Linked DNA regions of Tamandua tetradactyla. The protein of the gene in region 4 binds, or shares a complex with, the protein of the main gene of each other region. Links are inferred from orthologs where the notes say so. Each region holds a gene or a part of one and is shown on either strand. Other genes may lie near its edges. The genes, in order: NSMCE1, NSMCE2, NSMCE3 and EID3.

Region 1 (7,872 bases), on a different chromosome or scaffold from region 4:
TAAATTCATGAGAAAAGCAAATGACAATATACCTTTATGACTGAAGGGTAGGGAAAGATTTTCTATAAAGACACAAAGAATACAAACCATAAAAGAATAGACTGATAAATTTGACTTCATTACAATTAAGAACCTCTGCTCACCAGAAACACAAAAGAAAAAGGCAAACTGAAAGGCATTTGAAATACATATAAGCCGCAAAACATTCATATCCAGAATATATAAAGAACTCCTATAATTCCATATGAGAAAGATGTTAAGAGGAAAATGGGCAAAATAAATTTCACAGAAATGATTAATAAATGCATTCAAAAGATACTCAATTTCAAGTCATCATGCAAATGAATATTAAAACCACAACAAAATAATATCTAACCCACCACCAGATAGAAAAATATTTAAAAATATGGTTGATCCACAGAGGGTAGGAATATAAACTCTTACAACCACTTCAGGAAACAATGTGATATTACTAGCAAATGTGAATTGCTCCACAAATCCACTTACAAGTATAAAACCTTACAGAAACATTCCCACACTCTCCCAGGAGACATTTTTAGAAGCACTATGTAATAGCCAAACTCTGGCAACAATACAAATGCCCATCAACAGAACAGCTTTGTAAAGTATATTATAATCATATCATGAAGTTCAATACAGTAGTGAAGATGAATGATGTAGAGCAACAAACATCAACAAAGGATGCATCACAAAAATGAAATATTACAAGCAAGAAGCAAGTCATATGAAATACACATTAGGATCCAAAAATTAGAAAACCGCACACTCAATTCATTAGAAATGCTTACACAGATAGTAAAAACTACAAAGAAAACCAAGGGAATGGGTAACACATTACTCAGGGTAGCAGTTATCTTTGGGGAAGGGAGTAAAAGGATTCAGTGGAGACCTTGAGGATCTGATTAATGTTCTATTTTTTAACTTAATGGTGGGTATATGGGTCTCATTTCACTCCTGCCCTTCAAACTTACATTTCACACATTTTTAATAGGTATGTTACAAAAGAAAAAAAAAAGATCTAAATATGTTCAGTGCCAGCCAAAAGAAAAGATGATGAGAAGAACAAAGTACTGCACAGTGTAGTATGTTATAATTTGGCCAAAAAGAGGTGGGGAAGTAGGGCTGGAAAAGGGGCATAAATATTGATATGCTTGTTTTTAACACATAACGTCAGTTGCTTCTGTGAAGATAGACTAGGGAGAGGGGGCTCCGGTTTTAACCATGGATGTGTAACACCCACCCAAATAACGCTTTAGAAAGAAGTAAATCTCAATCCTAACCATCTGAGCCAAGTGTTACACACAGTAGGAGTGCTTCATTTGCGTGGTCTCATTTAATTCTCACCAGGACCTGATGAAGAAAGCATTACTGTCCCCATTTAGAGCTGAGGAAACTGAGGCTGAGAGAGGCATTAAAGCGACACAGTGAGTGAGAGACAGAGAGATAGAGGATGGGGACACAAAAGCACATTCCTGTTCTCAAGGCGCTCCCAGTTCACGTTAGCGAGAAAACAGAACTGTGATCCATGTCCCTTATTTGCAACTCCCACATCTAAAAAGGTCTGAAAACCAAAGTTTTTTATTCAGTTTGAAAACCGGACCTGATCTGAGGCGGGTCTATTTATGGCCGTTATTGATCCCCCTATGGCCGTTATTGATCCCCCTTTGGGTAAACACGCACATTAACCATTAACCACCTGTGTAGTTATCAATGTATTTAATCACAGGACCCTGTCCTAGACCCCGCTAAGGGTATGACAGTATATGCAGCATATTACCTTTCTAAAGCCCGAGAAATTCTGTACTCTGGACACATCTAGCCTCGGGTATGGGGACTTATACAAAGAAGCTCTAGTCAGAGGTCTGCGAAATAAACTGAGAGGGGTGGTCAACAAAGGCCGTATTTTCCATTGATGTAGTCAGCTTAAAGAGAATTTTGTATTTCGCTTTTTTTCTTAACTAATACTACAATTAAATATCGTTTTCACCTAATATTATGATTTAAAAGTTTGGGGGTGTTCCTGCGCGGGTGCCCCCTCTCTGGACTCAGTTTCCCCATCAAAAAATAGGGAAGAGTAGTCCCAAGCCCTCCCCGGTCCCCCGTTCACCACACAGAGGCCGAGCCCGGGCCTGATCCCACTTCTTGCCTGGCCGACCCCCACCTTCCACGCTCCCCTCGCCTTCCCAAACTCCGTTCGACCCCGTCTGCCTCCAGTCCCAGCGCCCCGAATTACCCGCCACGACACTCAACGACCGCCCAGACTGAGCCGGCTGTGATGGCCGAAAATGAACAGGAGTCCTCCCTCGGGGCGGGGCGAAGGCGAACGCGGCACTCTCATTGGCCGTCACCGGCAGATGCTCCCCGCCCACGTGCTGACGTACTTCCTGTTCTGCCTCTCGCGCCGTTGCCATGGTGCTCCGGTCTCTCTCGGTTAAGGTCCCAGTAGGCCTCAAACGTGCGCGCGCGCCGGAGAAGCGAGCTTCCTAGGCAGCGCTCAGTACCGTAGAGTATGGAGCTTCCCGCTTATCGCCTCTGCCTCTTGAGCTGCAGTGGCACTGCCCGAGCGAAGAAGAGGAGGACAGGAGTGCAGCCTGTGCTCTCCAGTGCCCGCGATCCTGCGGGCACAAGCTAGTGCCCTGTCCCGGGCCTCAGTGTCCGTATCTGTAGAACTGACAGTGTGAGCTCATGGCTGAGAATGAGGGCTTTGTTGTCATATAGCCTGAGCTTTGTTGTCATATAACCTGAGCTAGAATCGTGGCTCTGCCGCTTTTATTAGTTGCGGGATCTTGGGCAAGTCACGGAGCCACTCTGAGCCTTAGTGTCTTGTTCCGTTAAATAGAGATAAAATAGGCCCTACGAAATAGTGTTTCTGAGAGATCATGCATATTGAGTACTTAACATATCACCTGGAAAATGTCACATGGTGGAAGTGCTGATTAAATGTTGGCTATTATCTTACCTAGGGATTGTCCTGTGGAGTAAATGAAATCATTCAACGGAAGCCAATGGATGTTTCGAGTATCCAAGAAACATTCTACAAACGTTGGTATGCCGGTTCCTAGTGTGAGAGGAGGAGACATAGGTAATTATAGAACAGAAGTGAGTGCAAGTAGCTAACTTTGTGATGATAGGTTCAAATACCTACTTGGCCATTTACCACAGGTGTGATTTGGGAAAACGACTTAACCTCTTTGGGCCTCGATTTCCTTATCTGTTGATGGGGAAAAGCAGAAAATTGGTTAAAATCTTGAGCTTTGGGACCTCCTGAATGTGAATCCTGGTTCTTAAACTCGAAACCTCTGAGACCCAGGACAAAATTCTCCACCTCTCTGCCTCAGTTGGCCCATCTGTAAATCAAGGATAATTACCTTGTTGGTAATGTTCTTGTGAAGATTAAATAAAAATTCGAGATTATGCAGTTAATACATGCAAGCCACTTAAAGGAATGTCTGGGACATAGTACGTACTCAATAAGTGTGAGCCACCATTACTAATAAAAAGTATTTTATAAACTGCTTTAATAGCAGTTGAATAAGAGAAGAAAATAACCCTCAAGAGTAACATCCAAGTTTTGTTTGCCCTGCAAAGTATTATGTAAAATGTTCGATCCATTATCATTATTTAAAAGTTGAGGCATCTTACATAAAATACTGGAATGTCTGACCACTCTTGAGAAATGGGAAACCTGGCACACTGGGTCAGTATTCTACCGTGGCAGCACTTGTTCAGATCTGGGTAGAGACTAACCCTCTATGTGATCAAGCATGTGCTTTCCTGATGTGTAGAAATAAAAGTTGAGGACCAAGAACAGAAAATGCTGGAGAACATCAACACTTCAAAGTAAAGAGCCAAGCAAAGGAGCAAAGGAGGTAGAAAGAGAAGGGATTCAAAACTGAGTGGTATCAGAGCCACATAGATTAAGAGAAAGTTTTGAGAAAGAAGGTATGCTCAGAGGAGTCAGAAAGATGTTCCACCAGGTTTAGAATCTGTTACCCAATGAGAGCAGTCTCAAAAGAGAAGGGAGGTGCCTACCCATGCCAAAAAAAAAAAAAAAGAGAGAGAGAGAAAGAGAAGGGAGGACACTAGATCAGACCCCTTGAATGAATGGTTGAGGAAGTGCAGAAGAAATGAGGAGTACACTTTTAGGAAGTATGTTTTAGGAAGGGAAGGCTGAAGACTCAGGAGCAGAGAGGGACATCAATAGAATAAATCAGGCAGGATTGCCCCAGAGAGGAATAGAAAAACTTCTGAAGCAAGAGGGAAGGAAGTGAAAATGGTTAAATAGAGGGTCATCCCTGATGTCTTCCTGTTTTCTCTACAAGTAGCAAACAGTATCATTCTGCTGAATAAAAAAGCTGGGGAGATGCCAGGGGATGGAGGGGGTCAAAAGGTTTAGAGCAGATGCCAAGGGGAATGTGAAAGTGAGAGTCCAGCTGTGGTTGAAACCATAAATTATAATATAGAGATGACAGTTGGTTATTTGATCCCCTCCTTCAATCTTCTATCACCATTCTAGAGGCCTCAGAGTAGGAGCTTAGATTGGATCCATTGTGGAGTGGATCTGGGCTGGGCATATGCTGCTGACTCTAGAAGGCAAAGCAACTTGGGGTGGTGATAGGAGTATCTTTGAAGTGGTCCACCATGGTACAGGCAGGCACAGATGTGAGTGAGGGAAAATGCTGACAAATCAGAAGTAAGGGAAGGGGTTCAACAACCAAGGATCTCAGTGAGGTGGATCAGGTTCAGTAGGAGCAAGTAGTAAACAAGAACTGGAGTTCACGATAACAGTGACTACCACAGGGCAAGTATCTGGCCTCAATATAACTCTACCCTAAGAAGATAGTCTACTGTCTATCTGGTTCAAGGAGGTATTTATCAGGACTTTTAATGTACTTTGATTAGACTGCCTGTTACTGGACAGCACTGATGGTTCAAATATTGTTCCGAAAGTTGATCTGAAAAGGTATGATATTTTAGAGAGCTTTGTGTACCTAAATTTGTTCTACACAAGGGAGGTAACTGAGACCTTGGCGAGAGAGGAAGCTTGGAGCCAAATCAAATAATCAGGGGGCTTAGTTTTTCACCTGAAGACTAAAGAAGCTATCAGAATGGAAGTGACAAGGTCAGATTTCTGTTTTAGAGAAAGAACTTAGATTTATTTGTTCTTTTCAAATATATTTGGAACCTTTACTGAAATTGGTTACGTACTGGGCCATAAGGGAAGTCTCAATAAATTCAAAGAATCTATACACCATGTTCACTAACCATAGTGCAGCAAAATTAAAAATCAACGACAAAAAGAGAGCCACAAAACAATCCATATAATATATAGAATACACCTAAATTAGTAACTGCAGTTACTTCTGAGAAGAGGGCCAGGGAGATAGAAAATTTTTTAACTGTGTACAGCTATTATATATGAAAAATAAAATTTTAAATTATAAGCTCATATTTGGGTTTTATTTCTTAAGCTGCGTGATAAGAACATGAATATATAAATGAACATTCATTATATTAATTTTTATACATTTTGTATTTTTAAAGATTTTGATACATTTTTAATGTTTTTTAATTGTGGAATATAACATATATACAAAAAAGCAATAAATTTCCAAGTACGTTTTAACAAGTTGTTATAGAACAGATTTTAAAGTTCGATATGGGTTACAGTTCTACAATTTTTAGTTTTTTCTTCTAGCTACTCCGAGACACTGGAAACCAAAAGAAATATCAATATAATGATTCAGCAGTCATACTCGTTTGTTAAATCCTGTCTTTTCTGTTATACTCCTCCTCCTCTTTTTTCTTTTTTGTAAAAATAACATATATACAAAAGAGCAGTAAATTTCAAAGCATATCACAACAATTAGTTGTAGAATAAGATTTCAGAGTCTTTGTTTGGGTTACAATTACAATTTTAGGTTTTTACTTCTAGCTGCTCAAAGGGAGACTAAAAGAAATATCAATATAATGATTTAGCACTCATACTCATTTGCGAAACCCTACTTTCTCTGTATAAATCCACTATCACCTTTGATCTTTCACCCACTCTTTAGGGGTATTTGGGCTATGCCCATTCTAACTTTTTCATGTTGGAAGGGGATGTTGGTAATATGATATAGGGGGTGGAAATAGTTGATGTTCTGGAGAGGCTGGCGCCTCTGCATTTCGGACTTACCTTGTTCAGGGACACTTCTGAAGGTTATATGTTTCTGGAAAGTTACCCTAGTACATGGAACCTTTGTAGAGTCTTATATAATGCCCTAGGTATTCTTTAGGATTGGCAGGAATGGTTTTGGTTGGGGTTTGGCAAGTTATGATACATAACAATGTCTAACTGAAGCTTGCATAATAGTGACCTCCAAAGTAGCCTCTCAACTCTGAACTCCCTCAGCCACTGTTACCTTATTTGTTACACTACTTTTCCCCATTTTAGTCAGGATGGAATTGTTGGTCCCAGAGTGCCAGGGCCTGACTCATCCCTGGGAATCATCTTCCATGCCATCAGGGAGACTTGCACCCCTGGATGTCATGTCCCTCATAGAGGGGAAGGCAATGGTTTTACTTACAGAGTTGGGCTGAGAGAGAGAGAGAGACCACATCTGAGCAACAAAAGAGGTCCTCTGGAGATGACTCTTAGGCATACCTACAGGTAGGCTAAGCTTCTCCACTACATACATAAGCTTCACAAGAGCAAGCCTCAAGATTAAGGGTTTGACCTATTAATTTGGGTGTCCCTAACGTTTGACACAGGATCTGGGGTCTCCCTGTTGGTAAAGTTTAATAGTTCCATATTTTTTCTCTACTTTGACAATACTTTTTGATTATCTGCTTAATATACTCTGGGATGTATCCAGGCATTACACTAAGCTATACAGGATTGAAGGCTCTCATTCTTAATCTGGGCTCCCTGTTTTTGGATTGTTTAAATGATCTATCCAAACAGGTTGAGTTAGATTATGTGCTAAAGAAAATTTAGGTTGTGGACAAAATAAACCTTTCTTCCTTTGGTCTCAAAGAGTAGGTGAAGTTCTAAAATACAACGTCAGCCTTACCCCTCATAATACATTTTTAAAAGAAAAACCACATACATTTGGAAACTGAAAAATACATATTGATTTAAAAAAAAAAGACCAATATGGAAAATACAAATATTTAGAAATGAATGACAATAAAGGCCTGACATAAAACTTCTAGGATATAGCTAAAGCAATGATTATAGGGGAATTTATAGCCTTAAGCATGATTATTGCAAAACAAGAAAAAAATCTGAAGGAGCTAAGTGTGCAACTTAAGAGGTAGAAAATAACAACTTATAAACCCAGAGAACAGCAGAAAGAAGGATATAAAAACAGAAATTAGTAAAAAAGAAAATAAAGCTGCTTTTGGAAAGCAAAAGCTCATGTTTTTGTTAAAGACTAATATAATAGACAAACTTCATAAAATTAAGAAATGAAACAAATACAATATTTTAAATGGCAAAGAGGATATAGCAGAATAAAAATATTAAAAAGCAAAAGAATGTACTATGAACAACTTTATGCCAGTACAGTAGAAAATTGAGGCAATTTTTGAGAAAATAGAAATTACAAAACTTGACTAAAATAACAAACCATAAATCATAAATAAAAATGACATTGTAGAAAGAGATTTGTTCCAACTTCCAAAATACCCAGGCCAAGTAATTTTGTAGGAGCGTTCAAAAGAAAAAAAAAAAAAAGACAAGTTGCATTATGCAAATAGCACTAAACTATAAACAAAATAGAGAATGCTATCCAACACATACTATAAGGCTAGTTAATCTTTTTTTTTATTAATTTTTTATTTTTTAAAAAATACCAAAAAACACCA
Region 2 (8,015 bases), on a different chromosome or scaffold from region 4:
CCCCTACTCTGACTGGTGGACCAGAGTGATGTTTTGGGCCCCCTGGAATTAATGTCACTCCTGAACCAGTGTCTAATAATCCCCAAAATATCTGATCATTTCCTTTTCCCCAATGTACAGTTACCCTGGCAAAAGACCATTGGTCTCCTTGGGGAAGGCTTGGAGGAAGATTAACAGTATAAATTTGTGGCAATGTAACAGGGTCCTCTCCTCCCCCAAAGGGACCTGGCTTCCCCTTCATTCAAGGGGCTCTGGGTCGTAAACTGTCTCAATTAAGGGGCCATGACTCTCTGTTTTTGTGATTTAAGGTGGGCTTTTGTTCACTTGACCTAGAACTCTTTTGCTTATATAGCTCAAACACGAATTTAGTAGACTGACATCTATTGTACTTCTAGGTACCCCATGATCTACTAGCCAACGCCACAAGTCTGCAAATCAGATTATTTTGACTCCTGCTTTGAGTCTGCTGTCCATTATGATAGCCAGGTCCACCTTGTCTTTGACGATTAAGTGCTGCCATCTGGCTTCTGCCAACTTGGGATCCGATCATCCCCACTGTGTTTAAGGATTCCAGCTCAGTGACAGCATTTTCCACAGTAATATCTGACCTATAGAGAAGGACAACTACAGAGCTCTTCAGGGATGATGGAGCTAGTCTCATAAATTTATTTCTCACAGTTTTGATAAAAGGTGCAACCTCTGGACATTCCTGGGGTTGTATAAGCAGGCTTTCCATGATAAATCTACTCTAATATTCCAATCTCTCTAAGCCGTTGGATTCCCTCATCTACATTATACCAGGGCAGTTCTGGCATTTCAACTTCAGGTAATATTGGCCACCTTTTGATCCATGTTTCAGTCAACCATCCAGACAAACTGTTAATGCCTTTTCTAACCCCTAGAACTGTAACACTGAATGCTTAGTGGGCTCATTTCAATAAATTCAGCCTGATCCAGTTTTATATTCCTCCTACCATTATCCCACACCCTTAAAATCCATTGCCACACATATTCCTCTGGTTCTGTTTATATAAATTGGGAAACTCACAGAGTTCTTTTGGAGTATAACGTACTTCCTTATGGGTGACACTTTGTACCTCACCCTTTGGGGCCTGTTGGGACTTTAGATTTAGGTTTGGAAGAAATGACGGCGTTGGGGGTGGGGGTCATTGAAAAGAATTAGAAATATCTTCCAAGACAATTGCTTCAGGGCATTCATTTGCAGTTTCATCTGGTGAAACATGATTAATCACTCTAGGGTTAATACCTCCAGGTGGAGGCTGAGTGGCCAACTCCTCAGGGAAGGCTGGAGGTGGGGCAGCTAAGTCCTCAAGGCAGACTATTATAGGGTTATGTAGAAAAGATCAGCACAATCTGGGGTTTCAACCTGTCTACTGACATCAAAATCAATCCATATGTTGCCATTCCATTTTTCAGGGTCCCACCCCTTTCCAATCAATGCCCTCATTTTAATGACAGACAGCATGCAAGATTGGGATTTCCGTTTAAATTGTAAAGTTGCTTCTCTAAGAATAAGATTCTGAGTCTAATTTTTGGAGAGTTCATGTTTGTGGCTACAGGAAATAAAAGTTTTCTTCAAAGCACTCATAGAAACATTTATATCTGTCATATAGCACGTAAGCTTCTCATTTGAAGCTCATCCCTTTCCCTCATTAATGTATACAACCAGCCAAGATTTCTACACCTTCTGTTTCCACAAAACTCCATAAAGGTGTCAAAAACATCCCTCACAGCCTGGCTTCACACAAACGAAGCATTAGAAGAATCCAGTGGTGATATTTTGACTATCTCTTTTGCCAACAAGCCCCATGGATTGGCAGTGTCATTCTGACTATGGGAAACAGAGTCCTTAGTATCTTTGAGTCAACACTGAGAAATCCTGGTTTAAACCAACCTCCTTTTGTAGCCTTCCCTCCTTATTCCCTGTAGTACGGTCTCCAAGAAAACTTAGATCAAGGATATGCATTTCCTGTGCTCTTCCCTAGCATGTTATTTTGCGTCCCCTAACAAGCCTGTAAGATGCTCTGTAGACAGTGCCAATTATAAGCCAATGCAAACATAAAAATACTTCTCTATTGCTTCTTCCCCTTATTTTTCCATACAACACACTGCTAGGCACAGAATAAACACTTCGTAGACATTCTGTTGACCTCTAAATACATGGGAGCTTCGTAAAAATTCAGTTAAAGATCGTATCCTTTATCAAGATGCAAGGATGCATCCTTCTCTTATCCATACAAAGCAACTGCTTGTTTCCTCCCCGAAGCTAGCACTATATTATCACACACTCATCTATTATAAAACTTATCGCAACTATTTGCTCACGTCTGCCACTTCTTCGCCCTGGGAACTCCTTATACTAGAACCCTAACACATTCTAGAGCACATAAAATAGGCCCTCACACAAAATAGGCGAGCAATACATCAAATAATGGCAACAACAACAACCATCACCATTTCTTGGTCGCTTACAGTTTGTCATAAACTGATGCGGAGGACTTCACTCTCATCATCGCTAGTCCTCACAATTCACATAAGAGAAAAGGACACTGAGGCCCGGAGAGTTTATTTATTTAAACGACTTGCCCAAGGTCCTACTTTCAAACACAGTTCAAACAAAATCTGTTTGAATAAAAAGTTCGCGATCTTTTCTCCAAACACATAGGGCTGAAGGATAGAGAGATGACTTCTCGGACAAGAAGGTAAACTGACCTCCCCCCCCCCCCCGCCCCCGACGCTGTGACGTGAAAAGAACCAGCACCACATCCACGGTCGCCAGACCCCCAGCTCGAAGCGCGCGCACTACAGAAGGCGACAACTCCCGCCACCCTCTCCATCGCAACCCCCCACGTCTTACCTGCCTGCCAGATCGGTCTTCGTCTGGCTGCACCCTAACTTTCCACTCCTGGACCCCAATGCCCTGCTAACTCCCTTCTACTGTCGTTGAAACGGCGAGCGCGGGTTTCTACGTCATCAACAGTCGCCAACAAGGGATCACATGACATTCCTCCCGGCTCTCCGTCCTTTTGGTCATGTGACGGTCATGGGGCGGAAGCCTGGGCCCAACGGCTTACAGACGGGTTTGGGGATTGAGGGGGACCCGCGGGACAGATAGGCAGGGGACAGGGGTGCCGGCTCCTCGTCCGACCACTTACCCCGCTCGTGCGCTACTGGCGTGGCCCCGGTGACAGGTAAGTCGGGCCCGGTGCCGGCGCCTCCTCCCTGCATGTTTCCCCTTTTCCTGCCTTTGCCCCCGAATTGGGCCTCGCAGGTCAAAGGGAGATCTGCGGCATCCGGTGGGGTCTGTCTGGAGTGAGGGCGCTGGGTCCGAGGATTTAGTGGCTTCCTGGGACTGGGTATTCCAGGCTCTACTTCTACACTTAGATGGAAACAATTTTGCACACCCTTTTGGCGCTTGAGGAAGCGATGTTCACCTGCTTGGCCCGCATCAGATCTTCCCGACTTTCTGGGAGCGCTGCTGTGCACATCGTTATTCCTGTATTTACTGTCGAGAAACGGTGGTTGGGGTAGGCTTTTACAGTGTGATAGACGGGGTTTGAATTCTAGTTCTGCTGTGGACTCAGTTTGGGCAAGTCTTTGTTCCTCTCTGCACCTTAATTTCCTCCCCTGTGACATGGTGGTACCAAAGCCCCTTTGCATTTGGGGGAAAAAAAAATTCCGCGAGTCCTGATTCTCCTATGGAACATAGTAAAAATAAAAAGTGACAGACCCAGTAATGGAAATAGATCTCCTGATTCCAAGCGCGTTGTGTTCTCCAGCTTTGGTGATGGGCAAGTAGAAAGGAGGAAGAAGTTTCACTGCCTCTGGCCACAGGGACACCTTTCCCAGTTTTCTTTCACCTGTCTTTCCCAGGATTCGTGAATTGGACTAGAATGATCAGGCTCACTTCACAACTTTTCTGGAAGAGATAATGCGCTATTTGCTTTTATCTGGTCAACAACCATTTTATTGTGTTCCTGATAATGGATCTGTGCTTCCTCCTTTTGAAGCTGAGGTTTTATGAAATGACAAAAATAGACCTATCTTCCTTTGTCCTCTGAATAGGTTAAGCAGTGGTTTTTCCCAGGACAACTTAATTTCCTTCAGAAATTTGACTCTGTATTCATTAGATTATAGCTGTGATGATGACAAACTTCACTTTTGAAAGCATGCTGTCTTTCTAGGGTTACTTTCCAAACTGATAATCATTGCTCCATGCCAGTTTCCTAAAATAAAGTTACACCCCCTTTTTGGGGGGGGGGGGTGACTTGTAAAAGGAAAGAGGAAAACAAGAGGAATTTTTGGTTCTCTTTTATGCTAATAGTGTTATGATCTAATTGAGAAAACTGATCTATGAGTTTTCTTTGTCCCTAGCACCGTGAGAATCTCTCAAAGGACAGTTCAGGATAGCTTTTTCTACAATATTTATTTGCACATCCCTGTAGTGATTTTTTTTAAAAAAGATTAACGAAGTCTTACACTTTCTGTAAAGCCTCCTACCTCTGAAATCACTGCAAGGTGATGAGGCAACTTTATTGATGACTCAGGTTTTGTTCTTCAAGTCCAGTTTTCAGCCAAAATAGGACTATTTACCAAATATCTTAACCTAATATTCTTGCAAATTAACCAGGTAATCAATCCAGGTTAGGAGGTTTAGTACATAATAAAGTAACTAAGGAGTTTACTTCTTTCAGTTAATGTTGGTTTTCACTTGTTACATCCTTAAAAATTTAGCAAGAGAGAAGGAAATAGAAAGATGCAAGTGCTCTTCCTGAGTTGAAATGGATTGCTGTCAGTGGGTTCATTTCACTACAAGTGCCTGAAATGTAAGGTGTATCTTGCTTTTACATTAAAAAATTCAACTTAAAACTTAGTTTTAAATTAAAACTTACTTTTTAAATTAAACATTAGAGAAAGAAATTATCCTAGGTATTTAAAATCCATAACATTTTTTTCGCTATTGCCAGTCATGTTTAATTTTTTTCCTATTCTCTTTCTAATTCCTTTTGGAAGTTGTCTACAGTGCAATTTTGGGGCAAAGGCATAAGGATTAAATAAGAGATTAATTGTTTTATGTCATTATTCCATGCCTAATCTTTCCTGAAGTTGTGCTTGAAGATGCCTCGTGTGTTTATCTGTTTTTGTTGGGAAGGAGTAGGAAAGAAGGCAGGTAATGTTGCTGTGCTTTAAGTGGTTTTATCCAGGGCACCATTTTCTGCTCTATCTTAGTATTCAAAATTTAGAGCAGTTGGACCTGTTAACCATAGCTTGCCCTGCTCTGGAGAGTCTAGAGTTTAATCCTGTTGAGACAGCAGTGTTAGTTTGGTGGTCTTCAGAGAGCCTCAGTATATAGCTATTTCACTTATTGTCCTTTATTTCTTCCCCACTTCTTCTCTCATTTCCCAAGCAAGACCTTATTTTTGCAGAAAATTAAGTGTTCATTTTCAAAGTGATCTGAACTTCAGCCTGTTAGAGATCAATGTGGTTTAACAGGCAAGTACAGAGAAAACTAAAAGGATTTGTTAATAGTTTATATCTTTATATGTATTATAGGATGCCCTCACAAGAGGAAACTCTAGACAACTGTTGTGGCTTCTCATTGCTCCTTGCTCTCATTCCAACCCCATACACCTCCCCTGATCTCTGCTTCTGTCCTTGCTTACTGGGCTCCAGCCATATCAACACCTTTCTCTTCCTTAAGCACATTTAGCACATTCCTGTCCTGGGGCTTTGTACTTACTTGTAATGTCTGCTTGGAATGCCCTTCTCCTGATAGTTATATATTGCTGCATAACATGTAATACCAAGATATAGTGGCTTATGGCAAACATTTCTTGTCTGCCAATTTCTATGGTCAGACATCTAGGATGTGCTTAGCTAGCTGCCTGGCTCAGGGTCTCTCCTAAGGTTGCTGTCAGTCTCTGAGGAGAGGCTCAACTAGGGCTAAAGAGATCCACTTCCAAGCTCTCTCACTCTTGGTTGCTGACAGGCTCAGCTTCTAGTCACCTGTACCACCCTACAGGGCTCAGTCACAACATGGCAACATGCTTACCCCAGGGCAAGCAAGCCAGAAGCCATAGTCTTTTTGTAATCTAATCTCAGAAGTAATTTATCCCTTATTCTGTTCTCACTCAAATATTTTTGGCCAACAGTTTCTATCAGGGTCAGTCTTTGTCTTCACTAGTCATTCTTCGTAATTGGTACTCTGAACATTGGATGGCAGTCAGGCTTTCTGCAAACTCTGCAGCACAGGCTCCACCAGCTCTAAGTATTGGGGTGGGAGCACTCTCCCTGAATGTTGAAGCTCCAAGCATGCCTTCTCCAAGACTGGGGGCAGATGGTGTGCCTCCTCCAAGGGCAGAGGTGGGTTCACCCTTTTTGCTCATGAATGGGTGGGCCTGCTTGTTGTTTCAAGGAGATCTGTTTGTTCCAGACCTTTGCTTCCATTGTTCAATCCTGGAAGTCATTCTTCTTTCAATTTGTGCCTTCTCGTTCCCTTTCAGTCCAGCTGGCAATCGTTCTCCTCATACAGATTTTGCAAAAAAATTTGTTGGCTTAATATGCAGCTATATGGGCTTCAAACCATCAGGCAAAATAGAACTTTCCAAAGATAATTCAAGGATAACTGCCATTTCCAGTCTTGACTTCCATTAAAATGGCTTACTGAATCTGTGTTCAACCATACCTTCATTAGCAAAGGGTTGTTCATTTAAACTTTTACAAGGGCCCTGAAGGCTTACTTTCTGGAAACTCATGGAGGTTTCTGATAGTGCCACTTCTGGCCCTCGTTTAGAAGACACTATCTGGACAGCCTCAGTGTTTTCCAAACCATCAATTTATTGTTTCGTTGGGCTTCAGAGTTCAGTTCTTAGCTTATCCCTTTCCTCTCGCTTTTTATTATAAACTGTAAGTAGAAGCCCAGTTGTATCTTCCACATTTAGCTTGGAAATCTCCTCAGCTAAATGTTCATGTTTTCACTTATAAGTTCTACTTTCAGTCTGACATCAGAATACAATTTTGCCTGGTTCTCTGCCACTTTGTAACACTATATCACCTTTCTTCTAATCTCCAGTAGCACATTCATCATTTCCTTTTAAGACCTCTTCAGAAATACCTTTAACATCCACCTTTAAACCAACGTTCTGTTCATGATGAATATGTATTCTCTAAGACAATATTTCCTTTACCTACAGCCTCTAACCATTACCCAATTCCAAAGCCGTTTCCACATTTTTAATTATTTATAATAGCAACACCCCACTTTTCGGTACCAAAAACTGTTTTGTTTCCCAGCTTCTAAAATAATACCTACATTAGTTAGGGTTCTCTAGAGAAACAGAATCAACAGGGAACACTTGCAAATATAAAATTTATGAAAGTATCTCACATGACCGTGGGAACGCAGAGTCCAAAATCTTCAGGGCTGGCTGTGAAGCTGATGACTCGGATGGAGGGTCTGGATGAACTCCACAGGAGAGGCTCACCAGCCAAAGCAGGAATAGATTCTGTCTCTTTTGAATCCTCCTTAAAAGGCTTCCGGTGATTAGATTAAGCATCATTCATTGCAGAGGACACTCCCCTTTGGCTGATTACAGATGGAATCAGCTGTGGATGCAGCTGATGTGATCATGATCTAATTCCATGAAATGTCCTCATTGCAACAGATAGGCCAGTACTTGCCCAACCAAACAGATAGGTACCACAACTTGGCCAAGTTGACACGTGAACCTGACCATGACAATACCATACAATAGGCTGGCTTAACAACAAGAATTTATTGGCTCACAGTTTCAGAGTCTAGAAGGATTACTTCCTCCCAGAGTCTGTACCTTCTGGCTATCTGGCAATCTTTGGGGTTCCGTGGCTCTTCCATCACATGGCAATGCATGTGATGTTGTCTTCTCCTTTCTCTTCTGGATTCCATTGACTTACAGCTCCTCCCCATGGCTTCTCTTTCTATGTCCAAATTCCTTTGCTTATAAGTCTTTATAATG
Region 3 (6,973 bases), on a different chromosome or scaffold from region 4:
AGGATATGCATCTAAGCAGTCTGATTCCCAAGCAAGCATGGTTCATTAATAAGCCACTGTTTCATAAACTTTTGGGAGAGCTGCAGCAAAAAATGTTTTACATCACGACCCAATATAAACACACAAATAAAAGTGAAACAACTTCTAAAAAACACTACTTATGATATTATATAAAGTAGCACGAACTATCTTTTCCTTTTTTTTAAGGTGGTGGTTTTGAGTCACAACTTCTCATGACCCACGATTGAAAAAACATACAATGCTTAACTGCTTCAAAAATACATTACTGATTATAACTAAAACCACAAAAAGGAAAAATAAAATGGTCAGCAACAGAACTGAGTAATAAGTATGATTATATAGTAAGATTTTAAAAATTGCTATTCGGAGAAAATAAATTATGTACACTAGTTGGAACCATTCAAAATGTATTCTATAAGAGGAAAATATATAACAATAAAACAGCTGTGTTAAAGCAAAAAAGGATACACCGGCAATTACATTTCATTTTCAATTTATAAAGACACTTATTTTTCTTTACAAACTGGGGTAGTTATGAAGCCAGATAATAGCCATTTTGCTTTTATTTTCTTGGGACAAAAAACAAACAAACAATTCACCGATGTGTTCTTTCTTACAAGTCTGTTCCGGATTATGGTGCAGTTCCCCAGTTACTTTCACAAAGCTGGCAAAAGTTTTATACCAAAAAATACAGACAAATAAAGCATATCAAAACAACCTCACGACGACCACATCCTTCTCTTTGGTATGTGTCGACTTGGAATCAAATAATTAAGAATGTTAAAGGTACAAAACTTTGCAAACAAATCCTAAAGTTAACATACTTCCAAGTGCTACGAAAGATGGCCCACTGTCCCCTCTCCCCCCGTCCCTCAGCACCAGCCTTTGGGCCCGAGGCCCTTCCCCCGGGAAGTCTCCAAAAATCTGTGTATGATTTCAAGAGGAGGGGGCCGGACCACCGGACTCAGGTCTGGCCCTACCAGCCTCTTCTGCTAAAGCCTCACAGTACTGTGCTGGCCAGTCCTTGGGGTCTTGGTTATGGACTTTGGCCACAAACTTAAGCACCTTCATCTTGCTGGTTTCCAGACTGGTACGCGGGCCCCACTGGAACTCATAGTCTATGGGGTCAGTGTGCGGAATCCGCCGGTACTCCAAGTAACGCTGCCTTACGAACTCTTCGGTGATGAGTTTCTTTGGGTCCCCGAAAATCAAATGCTTCTTTGTGGGGTACACCCCTAAGCGACGAAGAAAGTCCCAGACCTCAGTCTCCTTGATGGTGTTGCCCTTCATAAAGATAAGCCCTAAAACGATCATTAGGAGGCCCGTGGTGGGCGTGCCCTGGTCGCCCCGCACCTCCGCATCCTCCTCCACCGGCTCCAGGGTGTTGATGAGGATGTAGCTGTTGCTCTTGGGCTCGAGTTCCACCAGCCTGTACCCGAAGACGTACTCGAGGCGCTCGGCGGCGAGCTTGAGGAGGTCAGAGAAGATGTCCTTGTAGTCTCCGACGACATGCTTCAGGATTTCGGTACGCTTGATCGGAATCTTCTTCTGGTCTTTAATCAGCAGGAACTGCACCAACTCGGCCACCTTCAGCTCTAGCTGCTTCTGCGTGCGGGGCCCCACCGCAGGGGTGGCCTGACTGGCGTGGGTGCCCCTGGGCGAGGCGCTCAGAGTCTCCTGCGAGCTGCCTGTGCCGCGAGAGGTACTCGGAGCCTCCTCCCCGCCGTGGCCCGAGTCCCTTTCCCTCTCGGCCTGGCTGCCAGGACGGCCCCGGATCCTCGGCTTCTGCAGCATGTCATTCGGCGGTGGACTCCCGGCGCCGGCTCGAACTCCGCTCGCGGTAACGGACCGCAGCAGGATCGCGGAAGCCGCCGGAGACGCGAGGCACGCTACGTCACATCTGGGCCTGCGCAAGGCACGTCCCGGGGCGGGGCCAGAGGGGCGCGCCTTACGTCACTGAAAACTCTTGTTACGTTGGCGGAACTTGGGCGTGGCGTTCGTGGCGTCTGCGCGAATGCCGCGCGTCGGCGGGAGAGAAGAGCGCGCGTAGTTGGCTTGCTGTCTGTAGCTCGTTTTTTTGTTTGTTTGTTTTTAAATCATTTTAAGTGCTATCCTTAACAAACCATACAAATAGAGAGCTGGCACCGAAACTCCTAAACTAGTATGCGGCAAGATTCAAGCTGAAACAGGCTCAGGCAAGTTCTATAGAAAGTGAGTATTAAGAGTTTTTACATTGGGACTGTTTCTAAGTGGCGAGAACTCAGAGGATGCATATGGGAGAAAAACAGGGTGAAGAAGAAGGGAAGACTGTAAAAAGTAAAGGAAAAGCATTTATTTCTACAGGGAACGTGGATTTTTTTTAAAAAAGAGGAAAACCCGGAAAACTTCTATTTGGAGACAGTCAGACTTTCCTTCGCCACGCCTTCCCCTAACTATGATCGCCCAGTTAACTTTCGTGTCCCCAAGAGTTTATTTTAAAATGTTTGATGAAGGTAGGTTTTCTTGGCGAGCGGGAATTACCCCTCCTTTTCACTATTTCAGTTTTTGTATTTTCCACATTAAACTGCATCAGCTGGACAGTTCTGACAAAACCGCCACGTACAGCGTGTTTAAATGCGAGGTTTTCGCTTGCTCAAAGCAATTTATCTTTTGGAACCCCTAGGTTCAAGTTCACTGCCTTGGGCCCACAACCACAATTTTAGTTGGAATGGGGTAAGAGGAATGGTACAAACAGAAGCATGCTCTCTCAAGACATTGCCATTTAATTTGGGGTACCACAGATGCTGAATTACAAAAATGTCACTCTGGAATTTCTTAATTCTTAATACAGATCAGCCTTAGAGCTTAAGGAGAAAGAAAAGAGAATCCCGGGCTGTTATCCCTCATAATCTTTGATATGTGCACTTTGTATATATATTTTTAATTGTGCAACTCGAATAGCCCGAAAGAGCTATTTCATTAACTTAAACCATTAGCAGTCTGCTGCTATTACTTAATTAAAATCATACCACCTCGCAAAAGAAAATGAATTTCCCCTCTTTGCCTTTTTGAAGCTACTCTATAAAGTGGGTAAACTGTACAAAAATCTAAATCAAACTGAGTTCTTCTTTAATGCAAAATATATTCAAAGGAAAGCAATTCAGAATATATTTGAATAATAACCTCAAAATAACAACCTTATTAAAATTTCATTAAATGTTAGCATAGACTTTTTGTTTGTAATTCAGTATGAAAATGAAATTTGATAACAGCATTGGAACTGCAATATTAAGTATAAAAGGTATTCCATGTTGTGATACAAGTATGCTACAAATCTGGTAAGCATGGAGTAACAACTTTGTTTTACACAAGGCACAATAACATATCCTCACTTTAATGAAAGACCCACCACCAAGAAAAATAAATACATCATTAATGCCTTCATTTTTTTTTTACAAGAAAAAAAAAATCTTCAAAATTTACTTGGAAATTAAAATTCAGACTCAAGTTCAAAAAACTCCTGCAGTCTATCTAGAATTCTGCAAAAGGTCTCCACAGAATGATCAGTTGTACCTTAAGTTTAAAAATGTCACCAATAAAAAGATAAAGGAACAATGGAAAATAAAAAGTTGAAAGCCATTTTCAACAACTAGTCTGGGGTTTCAGTGTTTTTTAATAAGTTTTATTTAAATTACCAAGCAGCCCCATCCATCTGACTCCCCTGTGACCTTGTGAAAATCAGCAGGGTCCTTCAGTAGCATCCTTACCCAGGCAGCAAATCTTTATTACTTAAAATGGATGAGAAAAGGTAGTAGATTTTAAGTCTTATATATTTGAATGTGGTTGAGGGGGGAAATTTGGAGTTTGTGTATATGTTACTGGAATGAAAATTAAAACAAAAACAAAGTTATATAACATAGTGAACCGTGTTGTATATGATGGACTATAGTTAATAGTACAATTATAAAAACATTCTTTGAATTGTAACAAATTCAAGGTGTTAATAATAGGGTGGTACATGGGAACCCTGATTTTATGCCTGATTTTTCTTTAAGCCCACATCTCTAATTAAAACAAACAAAACAAGCTCTACACTGTCTAGAAGAATGCAGGTGGGAAAATACAAGCATCAAATAGTGTTAGAATTTTAAGCAGTGCATAGAGAGTAACCCAAGCCAACATTCCACCTCAGACTGACATGGGAAACCATGGATGTGTGGGAACAAATTGTGATGACAGTGGTGATAATAATCATCATCACAATAATAAATATAGAGAATGGTAATTGTTCTAGTTTGTTAGCTGCCAGAATGCAATATACCAGAAATGGAATGGCTTTTTAAAAGGGGAATTTAATAAGTTGCTAGTTTACAGTTCTAAGGCCAAGAAAATGTCCCAATTAAAACAAGTCTATAGAAATGTCCAATCAAAGGCATCCAGGGAAAGATACCTTGGTTCAAGAAGGCCAATGAAGTTCAGGGTCTCTCTCTCAAGTGAGATGGCACATGGCGAACACAGTCAGGGCTTCTTTCTCGGCTGGAAGGGCACATGGCGAATACGGTGTCACCTGCTAGCTTTGTCCCCTGGCTTCCTGTTTCATGAAGCTCCCCGGGAGGCATTTTCCTTCTTCATCTCCAAAGGTCGCTGGCTGGTGGACTCTGCTTCGTGGTGCTGCAGCATTCTCTGCTCTCTGACTCTCTCATTCTCCTCTTTTATAGGACTTCAGAAACTAATCAAGACCCACTCAAATGGGTGGAGACATGTCATCCCCTAATCCAGTTTAACAACCACTCTTGACTAAAGCACATCATCCAGGGAGATAATCTCATTACAGTTTCAAACATACAGTATTGAATAGAGATTATTCTACCTTTATGAAATGGGATTTATATTAAAACATGGCTTTTCTTAGGGGGCATACTTCCTTTCAAGCCAGCACAGTAATAATAAATATGAAGAACAACAATGGCTAATGATAATTCAAAAGTAACTGGATCAGACCTTATTCCAAGTGATTTACATGTATTACTTCATTTAATTTTGCAACAAATATATAAGGCATGTGCGTTTATTGTATTCCTCTTCTCACAAATGAAGAAACTGAGGCCCAGAGAAGATATATAAGGGGTTTGCAGCCCCACAGCAATTAAGTGGTAGATCCGGGATCTGGGATCTGAATTAGGCAGTCTGCTTCCAGAGCCTGTGCTCTTAACCATATGTTGATATGCAGAAAACACACCTGGTGTCTTTGCAAGAGTAAGGGCTTTGGAATCAGATGGTCCTAGATTAGAAACATTTAAGACATTCAGAAAGCTACTGATACTCCAGATTTAGAGTTCTGATCCTGGCCTTGGGAACTAAGTAAGAAAGGTCTGCCAAGCACCAAGGACAGCCTGGCAGTGTAGTCAATACATATTTGAGGGTTACACAAAGTGATATAGAGAAAGATACTACAGTTAAAAATGTGCTCATACAAAAATCAAAAAACGTCTGGGAAAAACAAGTTCCTATTAAAATTATTTTCTCTTAAAAATAAATTCAATATAGGTTGTCTTGCTTGGGAAATAAATGTAAATATATTCTCAACAAAGCTTAACTTTTCTTGACATCATGCCATAACAGTTATACACATTCAAATTTTCAGTCAGTTTGATGTGGTTTGAATGTCATTTGTGACTTTTTGTTTAGGTAGTGAAGGAAAGAGATGTTAAAAAAGAAATACATTTTCAAACACTTTCTGCTAATAATCTTCATACTTTGAGGCAAAAACTAAGCTAGGTAAGATTTCAAATGCATTGAACAAAGAAATACCTACCACCAATAATTCTTTAGAGGTCTCTAATTAAATGCTTTATTTCATCTCCTTGGTAGCAAATGCCTGCTAAGAAAGTACTCATCCTTATTCTCTACAGAATTTTCCTCATCATTCGCTGGTATTTCTCACAGGATCCAAGAAAGGTTTTAACTTTTCTAACAGGCAACCTAGTGCTAAAAGTAGGTGAGGACTTTTGGGGGAAGAAAGGCAATGATAAAATCATATAATAGGGGCAGGCCATGGTGGCTCAGCAGGCAAAGTTGTCACCTGCCATGCGGGTGCTTGCCCATGCAAAAATAAGTATGTGGCTATCATATGTGAGCAACTTCCCTGACTTTTCCAGTGAAAGAAAGTGGAACAACAAACATGGAGCATATGAACAAGGGACTTGGGGACAAAGATTATTTTAGTGGGTAAATAGGGAAAACAATACAAATATTTTAATGTTGGCAATACAATCTCTTGTTTGTGCTTACTATTTGTAGCAAAGATCCTTCCTACTTAGATGACATGATAAACTGCCTAATAACATTTTGCCCGTCATGAAATTAAGCATTTCTAAACAGAAGCAGAGCTTTCCTTGGCTGGTGGAAGGGATGGGGCGTTGGGGCTAGATTATTGCTTTCCAAAAGCATTGTAACCATTTAGTACAAAAAGCTCTTCTTAAGAAAATGATTAAGTTCTATTAGAAAATTCCAAAGCTAACTCAAAGAGGACCTAATAGATGAAGAGACATTTCTCATGCTGCCATCTGAATCTCTGGATCCAGAGTTCAAGGTTGGACTGTAAGGATAACTAGTTACTGGAGCTAGTAAAATCTCCTTTTGCTTAAACTGCATAGAGTTGATTCCTCTTACTTGAAACTGAAAAATTTGTGGCTAAATTGGTATCCAAACCAATTAGGTAGGGAGAAAAAGTATACTATGGAATGAGAATTTATTTCACATAAATGGAGCTGGACAAGGTAAATATTACCTGTAAGCACACTTGTATGTAATTAAATTGATCTGAATACAAAATAATTTTTAAGTTTCTTGGCAGTGTTCTGTGGTTGAGGAAGTGCTTATGTACCTTTTAAGTAGCTGGCAATAAAGGCAGGAGAGAGATCATGAATGGCTGTGCTTTTTCATACAGACTGTACATATGACCTAATCCCCA
Region 4 (7,317 bases):
TGCTATTCTAAGAGTACCTTTTCCCCAAACAGGAGGTCTCTGGAAAATCTAAGGAATTAGGTTGGTAAAGACATAAAGTGAGGATTGGTAAAACAATGATGCATCTATGACTGTTAAATCAAAGGCTGACGAGACCAGGAAGCATTAGCTCCTTCACATGAGGAAAAGGAAGGAATGACTACTTCAGGAACAATTGGCAGACATTCATGACTAAGTTCAATTCTTGCTAAAAATCTCCACTATTTTTGGTGAAGAGCCCCACCTCTTCCTCCCCCACCACACACACACACACACACACACACACACACACACACACACACACACACACACACGACATTCCCCCCTAACCCACCCACTTTAACCTTGATGTCATTCATTTAATCTTTGGATTTTCCTTCCTTGTACCAGATTGAACTCAGAATAGTTTTAAAAGTTTATTGTCTTTGCTATGCATAAGAGATATTTACACACTTGTCAACTAATTAATAGACAAATGATAAAAAGTTACAACTACCAAATATTGCGTTCCTACAGAGATAAGGGAAAGAAGCTTACTGCATGCTCACTGTACCTTCAAAAAATGGTGTTTTTTTTTTTGAACACTTTTGAAAATTGCACTAAGAATCAAAATTTCGGCAACAATCTCCAAACAAGGGTGTAACTTATATTCTTAAACAACTGCAAAAAACAAACAACAAAAAGTCTCTACGGCTTTATGCTAAAGAACATTGAAATAAATCATGTATTTTAAATTAAACAAAAGTCTTTAAATCCAGGCATTTAGAATTCTATAAAGAAATGCATATTTGAATTGGAACAAATACTCCAGGCTCTTACATGATGAAACATCACTAACTCTAAAAGGCATGTTGTTTACAAGCAGATATTACAACGAGAAAAACTTGCTATCAGGGAAGAAATTACCAAAAAGATAAAGCCTATAACTGGATGGTAAAAAATTTTGTCTGAAGAAACGTGAAAAAAATATTTATTCTATAAATAAATAACTGGGGATACTAGTGTATGACGGTATTTATTTTTTGTCCAGTTCAACAAAATAAAATGGAAGTTTCCTAGAAATTGTATAGTTCTTCTGTGCCATAACTTCTCACACTTTCATGTGTTTGCCCTGTTTCCCTGCCTGCAATGCAGGCTTTCCCATCTTCTGTGACTAATTCCTTGTCACCTTTCAGCACTTGGTTGACACCTTCCCTCCTGTAGCAGAGATAAGATACTCTACTTTTGTTGAGTCTGGTCACAGGAGAAATTGTTTACCCACTTAGAGATCTTACTGTATCCTCCTCTGCAATGAAGCATGTTAACTGAATTTTTAGCCCTAAGGCTGCATATTAACTGCCTTTCTTGACCACTCATTTTTTTCACCAACTGTCCCCCCAACCTAATAAGAAACCCCTGATGTTCCCCAGAGCTCCTAGTAATGGAAGCAAAGCAGGTTATGAGAGCATCTGCATCTGTATTACCCAATACTTTTTAATTTATTAATCAATTATTTTATTAATTTTTTAAAAGCACAACTTATTTTAACTAGTATAGTCTTAAAGTGTATTTAACATTTTTTCCCATTAAAATACCTGTGACTTTTCTTTCATAAGATCATGACAATCTTTTAAGCTACCAAGAAAAATACACTAGAGAGTAAAACAATTTCTAATGTTCTTGAAAAAAAAGTTTCCCACTTTACAAGAGACAAAGTATGTTCTTCTATTTGGATTTTACTTTCTCCATTTTCAGATATTTAAGAAAAAACAAAAACGCATTTATGCTAAGCACAAAAATCTTTACTACGAGTTTGTGATCATAGCCTCTGAAATTTCAAAAGCTGCCACAATATTTTTCCAGTCCTGTAAACTCAAAGATATAACTCCTTGTTTCCTGCCATTGGAACTGCAATTGTTTCCTTTCCTAGTTTCATCAATATTAACTGGCTCTAATATTGGCAACCTGTCTTGGTCAAGCCTTATTCTTGCAAAACCATCCCTTATAATGAAAGAAACATAAAATATATTCTCCACAGTACGAGAAAAAGAGTTTGGATCAATCACAAATTCAAAATAGGACACAGGACTATCAGGATATTTTCGAAAGTAGGTTTGCAACAATCCCAAGATTCTTTCTACTTCTTTTTCTGTCGCTTCTTGATTACTACTAGGGTCCAACTTCCTCAGCTTTGTCGGCATATCTCTGTTTTCTTCCATTTTGTGAGATTTTTTCTGGTGTTCAGGACGTGGTTTCCGTGCAGAAGACTCATGCTTGAAAGAGCCAAAGATGAAGTGGAACGTCTCAGCTTGCAAGAGCCAGGTTGCTGCTTCCTTCTGCACCGTCTCCCAAAAGTGAACAGCCAAAGAAGCATCACAACCATCCAGCTCATCACGCTCATCACCCGCCATCCAGTTTAGGCCCACAAACATAAACAGACGGTCACAAAACGCTACTTGGTTAAAAAAGCTCGCATTAGAGTTTAACTGCTTTGCTTTTTCTTTACCCAGATCAGAAGCCAACACAAGAAACTGCGCGTCGAGGGCCGCTTCTCTCGTCCGGCTCACTCCATCGAACAGGACGTTGGCTTCTTCGAGGGCCTCGGTTAAGGACTCGCTCGCCGTGTTGACTATGTCGTCGCGATTCTGCTGCACGCTATAGATGAGCTGCCGGTACTGCCTGCGGATGCGCCGACATTTCTCCTCGTCATCCGCAAGCCCCAGGAGCTGGGGATCGACGTCTGCGTCCCCGGAGCTGGGGTCGTCAGAGTCGCTAGAAGGCCCCGCCGCCTCCTCCACCTTCCTCGACTCCGCCGCCGGCTTCACGGCGGGCTCACGCCCGGGCTTCTGTCTCTTCTCTTCGCCAGCTCTCGGGGAACCTTCTTCATCACACATGCCTCCAGCCACCGCCCTCGGCTGGGCGCCTCCCCGACGTTTCCCCCGCCGCGCACGCCGAAGCCGGCAGAAGCCAGAGGCCGCGCGCCTCCGCGCCTCAGCGGCCGGCCCAGCACCGCCCATGCGCACTTGGCGGCCGGCCCGTCCCCGCCCATGCGCACTAGCGGCCGGCTGGGCCCCGCCTCCGCGCTAGCGACAGGCCGCGGCCGCACGCCACGCAACAATGGGCACTTGAAAAACACCTGCTCAAGGGACAGGTGTTGGCTCAGCGCTTCCTGACAATGTCACTCAATTTGTAAAGACATGCTACGGCAAACTCAGGGGGGAAAGGTCCCACTCTTTAAAACATTCGCCGCGATACAGTGCAGTTAGGCCGACCTACATTTTTCTTTCTCGCGATGAAAAGGTCCTTTTTTTGAGAACCCGAAAGTCTGGTTAGATTATAAAATGCTCGCGGGGCAACGATAATGAAATGCACACCCCAATTATAGAGGCCAACTCTCCAGGATCAAACGCAAGGTGGACGCTGGGAACTCGTTCCCGGGGGCCGGGGAAGGGCGGGCGCGCGGGCGCGCACTCGCGAGGGGCCCCCGGCTCCCCACGCCGAGCGGAAGGCTACCGCGGGCCGCGAGCGCGCTCACGGGGACTGGGCCGCCAGGGTCGCCTGCGCGGCGAAGAGGCCTGGGGCCCGGACTCGTCGGGCCACGAAGGCGAACGCCGGGACCCGCCGCGACCCTGCGGGAGGCTCGCCCGCTAGTTCAGCGAAGCGGCTGGAAACTCGCTTCCGGCTGGAGAGGGCCGGTCAGTCCCGAGCACCCAGGCACAGGGAAGGGATTAACACTCGCTCTCAGCCCACGCCATCGAAAGCGCTTACTAACCACCACAGGTGCCGCTAGGGGGCTGAAGAAAAAAGGCGACCCACCACACCTGCCAATCATGGGCTTCAGGGGCCAGGAAGTCAATTAACCCGTAACTTCCTTCCTCTGCAGACTGGTTCATTTTTCTTAGGTAGTAGCATAACGTTTCATACGAATGCAGGAACAGCAAAACCAACTATTAAGTTACTCCAAAATCCTTATGATGCCACTCTTTGTCCACAATTATTTTAAGTAGGAGTAATTCAGAAAGATGTGTTTTTCGAAAACAACATGCATCATAGTTACCTGTGCATATACATTCTCCTCTGCATTAGCATCTCAAAAGCAAAGACTTGGTTTTAAACCTCCCAAACACAGCCGTTTTCACATAAAGGCACTCAAGCATGCACTGAATGAATAAATGAATGTAGATTAAAAACTTTGATCCAGCACCTATTGGAAGTTATTTGGCAGAAAAGATCAAATTCACAGATTAGTATAGGTCATTTATCCTACACACTGAAAGTAAAATCTGACTTCTTTTATAAAAAGTCAACCTCAGCTACACAGCCACTTCCCGGTTTCATGGTTTTCGATTGTTTGGGCGCCAATTTCTCTAAATACTAACCCACAGGAATTAGTGATTTTTGAAGCACATTATAATTGTTCCCACTTATAGGGGATGCCTGACAAAGCAAATGTGTCCAAGAAAAAATCTCAAGTTAAAAAGAAATCCAAAAAGAAAAACTGATGAAGAAATGGAGTTATCAGAGAAAGAGGGTAGAAACACCCTCTTAAACACCTTAAAGAGGGTTTAAAAACACCCAAATCATCTCTCTCCAGATGGAAAAACAAAGCATACTAATCTGAAACAGATAAAGATAACATCCAACAAGAGAAAAACCTGGCAACGTCTTTCAAGGAGTAGCAGAAAGTATTTACAATCTATGATGGAGTCAGTAATAATAGCAATTTGAGTAACAATATTAAAGAAAACAAACAAATCCAGTATCATCTCAACTGTCTGAAGAAAAGATTGCTACAACTGTGTGAAACAGAAAAATTTAACAGTGTCAAGTCTACTGAAAATGGAAAGGGCATAGCACAGTGCTAATGAAGAAGGTCTGGCAATATTGCAGGAAGAAACAGATAAAATAGTGGAGACCACAGAGTCAATGAGAACATTCAAAGCCTCAAAAGCAAACTTCACATTCTGACAAATGAGATGGAAGGAGAGGAGGAGAAGGTAAAACAGATGTTTCAAATGGATAGTAGTGAAGTACTCTCTCTTCCAGAGCTTTCTCAGAACAGTCTCAAAGCACCAGTACTTGAGAAAGAAATTTTGATGCTGATTCCAAACCAGAATGCTCTTCTGAAGGACTGGGATGTTCTTCACAATTCATCCCAGATGAAGGACATACTAACTTTTTCACTGAAGAAGCCTATAAGAGACTGGATGCCTCTTAACAAGTTTTTATTTATATGAGATTGTTTCATCTTAATTTAAACTTTATGAATATATAAAACTATTACCTTACAAATGATATTTCAGAGGCTCGGGCTTAAATTACATGCACTTTAAAATTAGCCTGTGCAGATCTACCATAAGCATCTAGTATAGTCCTGGAGACTCTGTTTTAGCAACTGGCAAGCCTGGAAAATCACATTTATTTATTATACTGCTGCATCTCTGGTTATTTCCCTGGAACCAGAAAATAAGAACGGCCACAATCTGTTAGTTAGTAATGGCAGAATGGAGGTCATTTATTGCTTAGTGCAGATAAGATATGATGCTATGAGTTAATATATGTAGTCTTTGCATGATACCTAGTACCTAGTTTACTCTCGCTAATATCATTTACCTGATATCTTGCAGTTTGTTGTCTGGTCATCAAGATGTTGAGAAATCCCCAAATGCCTTTAATCTTCTATAGAACTCCCTAGTCTTTTTGTAGTGTTAAGATTTGAGAGGTGCCTTTCACTGTGTTGGTAGCATCTACATTGTATTTTTTTATTGCATTAGTGAATAAATGTTGAATTTATTCTCCATTGTGATCAAAGGATGCTTTTATTTAAGAAAACTATTAAAAAGGAATTCCTAAGCAAGTTTATTCTCTTTAGTGACCCCTTTAAACACAGATCAAACAAAAAACCCTTCTTTCTAAACCATTTTTTCCTCACTGTGATAAGCATATGTATATATGTGTATCTAAATTATCACTCAACTATATAAAACAATTATTTCTAACCAAAAAAAAAAAAGTCAACCTCATGCCCTTTCTGGAAAACAGGGAAAATGAGACAATAACAAATTTGGGAATCAGGATCATTTTAAAGAGCCATGTTTTCCCCATGTCTGGCAATTACAAAATAAAATTTAAACCTATTTTAAATCTTAGGTGAAAACATACAGTTAATAATTCCAAGACCCAAAATGCAGAAAAGTTTGCTACTAGATGACCATATTCTTGGGAGTGAGGATTCTATCCTTCTGATAATTTATCTTCAATAAAAGCAGTTTATGAAAGCTCTCCAAAAGACAAGCACGAGGTATTTATTTTCTCCTGTGCTCAGAGGAAGGAAAATTTGCTTCACACACCAATTTGCTTCAAACACAGTCTTTCATCTGAAAATGTCAAAATGTTTCAGAAAAATATATAACTCCCCCAACCTACTTATAAAGTATTAGTAATTCCATTTACAGTGATTTCTCAGGAGATAACAACCCACACAACTCTCACAGAGGCACAGAACACATCAAGGCAAGCAGTATATGAATCAATTTTGACGTCCAGTACTTTCATTCTATGCTGGTCCTGTATCCAAGAACCTTAGTAAAATGTAATTTAAATCATCTTCAGAAAATCATACTTGCATTACTGACTGCAAATACAGCACATGATTTCAGACACTGCTACAAAGTAAAACAATTTCAAGTCTAGAGATTTCCTCATAGTCACAAAGAAATAGATTTCTACCCTTGTGAATTTCAAAATCACTACTAAATGGCTTAAATCTTCTCTATAATGCTCACCATTTTTACCTTCTTGACAGTTTGCCTATAAGCTGTTTACAAATAAACAATAATTTATCTTTTGCAGAAAATAGGACATTACCTAAACAGTAACAACTTCAGGTGCAACCTAAAGATTGCCTCACATTACTTACATGAACTGTGCTCATTTTCCTATGTTCTCTTCTGATCCTGACTCATATGCACTCACTTTTTGGTATAAACATCTTAACTTCCTACCACCAGCAATTTACATTCTGCCCTTTTTAAACTTCTATCAGATATAAAGGTCTGGTTTTATAATGAAAATGTGCAACGATATCAAAGTATGTATACATGAAAACAAGGACAAAATCATTAAAATGAAGTTATACTAGTGTTAAAGAATTAGTTTTATTTTTTCAAAAGATGTCCTATTTGTTGATATGTGATCTTTTACATATTAATAAACATTTTTCCCCAAAGAATCAACAAGTAGTTGTGATTTTCTAACCTATGGTCCAATTTCTACAAGTATTTAAATGCAGCCTAAAAAGGAAGCACACATGGAACTGTA

The links.
Region 1: EID3 (region 4) and NSMCE1 share a complex: the UniProt entries of both Homo sapiens proteins name them as parts of the SMC5-SMC6 complex. The link is inferred for Tamandua tetradactyla from reciprocal best matches to the Homo sapiens genes EID3 and NSMCE1.
Region 2: EID3 (region 4) and NSMCE2 share a complex: the UniProt entries of both Homo sapiens proteins name them as parts of the SMC5-SMC6 complex. The link is inferred for Tamandua tetradactyla from reciprocal best matches to the Homo sapiens genes EID3 and NSMCE2.
Region 3: EID3 (region 4) and NSMCE3 share a complex: the UniProt entries of both Homo sapiens proteins name them as parts of the SMC5-SMC6 complex. The link is inferred for Tamandua tetradactyla from reciprocal best matches to the Homo sapiens genes EID3 and NSMCE3.

The regions. Positions count from the first base shown.
Region 1 is NC_135349.1:26,270,576-26,278,447, reverse strand, and holds the start of NSMCE1 (non-structural maintenance of chromosomes element 1 homolog), read right to left. Parts: upstream 3,004-7,872; 5' UTR 2,981-3,003; intron 2,391-2,980; exon of another isoform or gene 2,183-2,390; intron 1,896-2,182; exon of another isoform or gene 1,799-1,895; intron 1-1,798. UniProt on the Homo sapiens protein: RING-type zinc finger-containing E3 ubiquitin ligase that assembles with melanoma antigen protein (MAGE) to catalyze the direct transfer of ubiquitin from E2 ubiquitin-conjugating enzyme to a specific substrate.
Region 2 is NC_135332.1:169,607,738-169,615,752, reverse strand, and holds the start of NSMCE2 (E3 SUMO-protein ligase NSE2), read right to left. Parts: upstream 3,012-8,015; 5' UTR 2,879-3,011; intron 1-2,878. UniProt on the Homo sapiens protein: E3 SUMO-protein ligase component of the SMC5-SMC6 complex, a complex involved in DNA double-strand break repair by homologous recombination. Is not be required for the stability of the complex.
Region 3 is NC_135338.1:81,819,760-81,826,732, forward strand, and holds NSMCE3 (non-structural maintenance of chromosomes element 3 homolog), read right to left. Parts: upstream 1,956-6,973; 5' UTR 1,816-1,955; coding exon 958-1,815; 3' UTR 503-957; downstream 1-502. UniProt on the Homo sapiens protein: Component of the SMC5-SMC6 complex, a complex involved in repair of DNA double-strand breaks by homologous recombination. The complex may promote sister chromatid homologous recombination by recruiting the SMC1-SMC3 cohesin complex to double-strand breaks.
Region 4 is NC_135333.1:174,450,073-174,457,389, reverse strand, and holds EID3 (EP300-interacting inhibitor of differentiation 3), read right to left. Parts: upstream 3,004-7,317; 5' UTR 2,892-3,003; coding exon 1,803-2,891; 3' UTR 422-1,802; downstream 1-421. UniProt on the Homo sapiens protein: Tissue-specific component of the SMC5-SMC6 complex, a complex involved in repair of DNA double-strand breaks by homologous recombination.